2 linked regions of the Danio rerio genome follow. The protein of the gene in region 1 purifies or fractionates together with the protein of each later gene. This does not show direct contact. Links are inferred from orthologs where the notes say so. Each region holds a gene or a part of one and is shown on either strand. Other genes may lie near its edges.

Region 1 (3,073 bases):
CCCTGCTTTGTTTATTGCTATTGCCATGGAAACACTGTTATTCCTGCTGTTCTATAGGCGCCACCTGGCTTAGCATTTTAAATCAGTATATGAATAATGTATTCGTTTTACAATTAGTATTTAGTAGACTGTAAGTTAAAATGTTGCCGATGAGGTCTTAAAATGCATGGAAAGAGTCTTAAAAAAGGCCTTTAAAGGTATTAAATTTCATTCTCTGATTTTTGTATATACCCTGTCACAGCCCAGTAGGTCCGGTAAATGCCCAAGTTCCCTTGTCTCAATCTTCTTTTCACATCAGGGCCACAAAGTAAAACACGCAGAAACGAAAATTGAAAACAGCATCGCAAACTCACGGTTGACTAAAAAGTTAATCAAAATGAGCATTGCAATTGACTGTACGGGTTTTGTAAAGGCAATGCTGTAAAATTGTTTTGCAAATATATATCGTTTTTATTATTTTATATATATGCAAATACAAATCAAGCAGTGCTATATATATATATATATATATATATATATATATATATATATATATATATATATATATATATATATATATATATATATATATATATATATATAGCACTGCTTGATTTGTATTTGCAGTTCTTGTTTTGTTTGCTAATTTTTTTTTCTTTAATTTGCATTTATTTATTTATTGTTTAAAACTTTATTTTGCAAGTATATATGTATATATGAGCCTAGATTGACTCCATATGATAACTTTGGAACATTTTTAGACACCCAGAATGCTGTTATTACGCAAATTAATGTTAGCATGCCCATTTTCTCTGTTTTCCACATTTCAAGAATGCATAAATGTTTTTTTGTTTTTTAGTTTGTAAAGCACGTGTCATGTTAAGGCAAGTGTTTCTCAACCACGTTCCCGAAGAGTCCCACCAGCACTGTATGTTTTGGATGTCCCTTTTGTCTGTCACACTCATTACAGGTTTTTCAGTCTCCGCTAATAAGCTGATGATCTGAATCAGGTGTGTTTGGTTAAGGAGACTTGGTAAATGTGCAGAGCTGGTTGTTCTCCAGGTTGAGAAACACTGTGTTAAGGTACCATAGCTTTATCCATTAATGAGACATGATACATACATACATATATATGATAAATGGCCTCTTTTGACCCATTTAGTAATATTTGTTTGTTTGTTGCCATTTCCACTGTTTGTTTTTTCCCACTGTACCACAACACGTCCTTCTCGCATGTGTTTCCTCTTGCGTTCACGACAGTTGGCCGGAGAGTTCTTCAAAACCATTAAAAGCTGATATGAGTGATATATATTTTTTTCGCTCACTTCAGAATTTGTTATCCCTGTCAGATTGTAGCCCATCAAAGTTAGCTGAGTAAGTGCTCTTGAACCGTTTCTACGCCTCCTCACACCAGCTTCACTTAGTTCAGTGCTGGGCTGAAAGCTAGCTGATTTCCATGTCCTTTACAATGTGTGTGTATGTGTGTGTGTGTGTGTGTGTGTGTCTGTCTGCATATTGCCAGTAAAGTGGGACATTGAGTGCCGTCAAATATGCTGATCTTCTTAGTTTGCGCCGCAGCTTTCAGCAAGTCGAATGAATTAATTGAACTCTACTGACCAGGGTGAGCGGATATCATGCATCTGCCAAGTGGGTCCATATGCACCCATGAAAAGTGATTAAAATGGAGATAAATTATGGGTAATAGATAAAAAGAGATAGACAGAACAAATGAAAGGGCCATTGGGTGACAGAAAAAATCCCAATGGCCCCCACTTAATACTATTAATCAGTGCAAGTCCATAGCGGCTCGGGTTTGTTGGCAGTGATTGAGTGATGCTGAAGGACATCTCCGTTTCATACTCTAATCATGTGCCGTTTCTGTCCACTTACGCTTGTCCTTGGTTCGGCTTTTTTGTTTTGGCTGCCATTACATTTTTCTCCCCTTTTTGCTGTATTTTTTTCCACCCCCTTGTGAAAGCAGCCTTGTAATAGTTTTTCTTTGTTTTTGTTTAGTCTGATATTGAGATAAATGCTGCAGCGTGTTTTTGAATGACGCCTGATGTGCATTGTTCATATAAATCAGCATTCGTTTCATGCTTTCATTTCTTTTTTTTCGCCCAGAATTACTCGCACAAACGACCTAAAGCCTCAATGTCGCAGGTAAGTTCCATTACTGATTCATTTGCGTTTTCATGGAGAGAAAAAAATACGAAGGTCCCGCTGTTGAAAGAGAAGGTATTAGCTGATGAAAACGCTCTTGTTTTCACAGAACTACAGTCTGGCTGAGCTCGATGGGAAGATCAGTGCCGTCAAAGCTGCCTTGATGAAGAAAAGCAACGAATTCCAGTCCGCAGACGCAGAGTTTTCATACTGACACATGCACTTTTACTTTCTATGTTTTATTTTTTTCTTTCTCCTAATGACTTCATCTTTTTGGTCATGTGTGCAACTATGATGATCACACATTTCAGAGAGTGTGTCAGTGAATATGTTATATCTATAAAATGTATGGAAAATGTTTTGTTTTTTACATAAATGTGTCGTTGTGTTTTTTTTTGTACACCGCTTATGTAAATAAATGTGCATCTGATTTGATGGTGTTTTTCTTATGTATTTTTCCCTCAGCTGATAGCAGCCCTCCAGTATTTTTAATTTTCTTTGGAAAATGTATTCATCTTCTGAATGTGCAGTGTATTGGGTCACAAGGTTTATTGGTAACACTTTTTAATAACACTATGAATCAATTATTAAGCATTAGCATATATTGAATTCATTTTGTTAAGCTTTAACTCAACATTACTAGATGTTAGTAAGCAGTTTATAACTGCAGCTACCAATGCTGTATTCTGTACTTATAAGCACATTTATAATGTGCTTAATAATTGTACTTTCGTACTTTGTTAATGATTTATTTTTCATTACTAAATTAAGTATTGCATTATTTACAAACCAGTTATTTAAGCTTGGTGTTTTTTTCATTTAAGTTGGTGTTTTTTTAATAGCATTCAGAATGAGTATTTAGATAAACATAATTCTTATTATTAAGGCGTATATGAATAGTTAAGTTAATTTGTATATTAATAAATGCTTTGTT
Region 2 (3,500 bases), on another chromosome or scaffold:
AGACCATGCAAAAGTGGAGACCCAGGTGGTTTTAATATTACAGAATATGTGTTCCACCATTCATAGGCTTCACACTGATGTATATATGACAATTTTAAATTTAAAACAATTTACAAGTTACAAACTAAAATTAAATAACAAATTATGTTTTTGACGCAGTTGAATCAGAATTATTTGCCCTCTTTTGAAATTGTCTTTCTTTTCAAACTATTTCCCAATTTCTAGGCTTTATTGGTGATAACTAAGCTAGCTAGACAGTAATGTGTGAATTGTTGAGTGGGCAAAATAAAAACAAAAAAAAAGGTCAGTATTTTATTTTTATTATTGCCATAATTAAAAAAATATATAATTGTAGAGCAACCCAAGTTCTATTGCCATTAATATTTAACTTTAATAGGTTAGTTGAAGTCAGAATTATTAGCCCCCCTGAATTTTTAGTCGTCCTGTTTATTTTTTTCCCAAATTCTGTTTAACGGAGAGAAGATTTTTTTTTTCAACACATTTCTAAACATGATAGTTTTAATAACTCATTTGTAATAACTGATTTATTTTATCTTTGCCATGATGACAGTAAATAATATTTGATTAAATATTTTTCAAGACACTTCCATACAGCTTAAAGTGACGTTAAAAGGCTTAATGGGGTTAATTAGGTTAACTAGGCAGGTTAGGGTAATTAGGCAAGTTATTGTATAACGACGGGTTGTTCTGTAGACAGACAAAATATATATATATATATATATATATATATATATGTGTGTGTGTGTGTGTGTGTGTGTGTGTAGTGTAGCCACAATGCCCATGTATGCTGTTTTGTTGATTTTCCTACTGATGATGTTTGTTTAGATGATCAGAGGAAGGCTGTGCAACCAGAGCAAACCAGACACCTTCAACCAGCTGTGGACCATCGAGGAGCAGGTAGTACTAGTAGCTGTGAACTCTGAGACGTCTATAAACAAATTTAAACAAACTATTAAATGTGCACAGGTTGTAACACTGTTAGTCCAATTTATACTTTATTATTGTGAGATTGGCATCCCCCCCATGTTGCTGATATCCTTGTGAGCAATTGTACTTCTGCGTTCTGTCCATGTTGCTCTGCAATAACACTTCCGAAATAGTAGTTGGCAGTGGGGATTCTGTGTAAAACTGTGTTTTTTTGCCAATGTTTTGAGTTTGCACAGAAAATGGAGTAACAACAGTTCAAACTCACACTTTTTCTGGGAAGAAAGTTGGGAATCAGTGTGATCTTTTGCTGCTGTAGCCCATTCGCCTCAAGGTTCGACATGTTTTGCGTTCAGAGATGCTCTTTTGCATACCTCACTCGTAACAAGTGGTTATTTGAGTTAATGTTGCCTTTCTATCAGCTGGAACCAGTCTGGCCATTTTCCTCTGACCATTCTCTGTAAACCCGTGAGATGGTTGTGCATGAAAATCCCAGTAGATCAACAGTTTCTGAAATACGCAGACCAGCCCATCTTCCCCATTCGGATGCTTGGTTTAAATTGCAGCAGATCGTCTAGACCATGTCAACTTGCATAAATGCCTTGAGTTGCTGCCATGTGATTGGCTGATTAGAAATTTGCGTTAAGCAGTTGGACACCTGTACCTAATAAAATGGCCAGTAAGTGTATAGTGTGAATATTCTATATTTGAATATTTAACTTCTGTACCTAAATACTGTGATTTTAAAATATTTCACTTCTATTGTTTTCAGTAGTAATCCCTATATTCTTCCAGAATAATCCCCAGTCTAAATTAATGAATTCTTTCCAAATCATGCTGTTTATATGGCAATCTATATCGCAACAAAACAAAATATCGCTAATTTTTTCAAATATCGTGCAGCCCTAACAATTGTCCATTTAAATTTGTGAACGTATGCTATTATGTACATTTTAGTCTTTGGTGTAGCTGTTTTCTCATCTCATCTTGTATGTGAAACCTGTAGAAAAAGTTGGAGCAGCTGCTTTTGAAGTTCCCACCAGAGGAGGTTGAGTCTAAACGCTGGCAGAAGATCGCAGATGAACTTGGCAACAGGACCGCCAAACAGGTGCGTCTTCAGGGCCTGCCCATTCTCTCATAGCATTGACGGACTTCTCTTTCTAGTCACATTTTCACTGCTCAATAAATAAGTCATGCAATTCAAAGCCTCATTTAATGGAAGCTCTGTTGTTTACAGATGGGTTTTTTTTTTGCTAATGTGACAAGAGTCTGAAAATATAAAAGCTGTGGTCAGAAAGCTTCATCACTGAATTTATGGCCAGCTCTTTTTATGTCAAATGTTTGTTGCTTTTCTCTGCAGGTTGCTAGCAGGGTGCAGAAGTATTTCATAAAACTGACAAAGGCTGGAATTCCAGTGCCCGGCAGAACACCCAATGTGTGCATGTACAGCAAAAAGGTATAATCATTTTTTTAAATTAATTTTACATTTGTATTATTTTCTTTATATGTCATGTAATGTACACATAATTTGTATATTTATCTTTACACATTATTTACTACAACAAAGGGTTTGTGACTGTTTAAAGAGCCATGAAGCCCCCTGTCTCAGCAGGGTGTTTTTACACCTCTAGTTTGAAAAAAGTGGTCCAGCTCTGTTTGGGTGGGCGTGTCAAGTGGCGAAAGAGGAAGGGTTTGCATGAAAAGGGGAGTTTCAGTACGTGCACATGCTGATTTTCAAACACACGCACAGGCGAGATAGACTGTGACTCGGAGAGCAGCGGATCTAAGAGCTGTGTAAAAAAGTGCAGGATTTCTCTCCACCAGATTCTCCTCAGTCACATTATCTGTTTGATGACAGTGCAGGGCCACTGCCTTATCATTTTAAACCTTTCAACAAAAGCACGCCTGTGAATGCAGGAGAAAGTGAAAATGCTCCTGACAAAAAGAACATTGAAGTCTCGCAATTGTAATTATTATTCCCAACTTTATTTGTTGAAATAAACAAATAACTATTAATCACACCATTGTGCCTGCCAAAAATACACTAAAAAAAGAGGACTGTTTTAATCTTAATTTTCTCTGTTGTAATCTTAGGGTGCTTTCACACCTAGACTTTTGTTTCGGAACCTGTCTCATTTCCCCAGTTAGCGCGGTTCGTTTGGCATATGTGAATCAGCAAATGCTCTCTGATCCGCAGCAAAACAATTAGCCCGGAATCGCCTGAATGAGGTGGTCTCGGCTCGATTGAAACCAGGCCCGGATTGGCTAATCGGGAGGACCGGGAGAATTCCCGGTGGGCCGGTCTGTTTTTTGGCCGCGAGGGCCGGTGTCCCTAGCTGCTTGCACTCTCAGCAGTCACACTTTTTTCTTCTATTTATTTATTTGACCATAGCTTTACTTTTTTTAATCATTATTTTGCCGTAGTGCCGCTCTTTTTATTTATTTTCTCGCAGCCCCGTGAGAAAAATGCAGCCTGCAGGTTAACTAACGTTAATGATGATGATGTAATGCAACTATCGACCCCAAACAGCGGCACCTTAGTGAATATAAGAATT

Evidence for each region.
Region 2: the proteins of mbip (region 1) and zzz3 purify together in Homo sapiens (affinity purification with mass spectrometry; 4 studies listed by BioGRID and IntAct, counting the BioPlex papers as one, with this or other methods). This does not show direct contact. The link is inferred for Danio rerio from reciprocal best matches to the Homo sapiens genes MBIP and ZZZ3.

What each region holds. Positions count from the first base shown.
Region 1 is NC_133192.1:40,174,217-40,177,289, forward strand, and holds the end of mbip (MAP3K12-binding inhibitory protein 1), read left to right. Parts: intron 1-2,100; coding exon 2,101-2,139; intron 2,140-2,248; coding exon 2,249-2,353; 3' UTR 2,354-2,573; downstream 2,574-3,073. UniProt on the Homo sapiens protein: Inhibits the MAP3K12 activity to induce the activation of the JNK/SAPK pathway. Component of the ATAC complex, a complex with histone acetyltransferase activity on histones H3 and H4.
Region 2 is NC_133177.1:9,166,339-9,169,838, forward strand, and holds part of zzz3 (ZZ-type zinc finger-containing protein 3), read left to right. Parts: intron 1-846; coding exon 847-918; intron 919-1,951; coding exon 1,952-2,053; intron 2,054-2,305; coding exon 2,306-2,401; intron 2,402-3,500.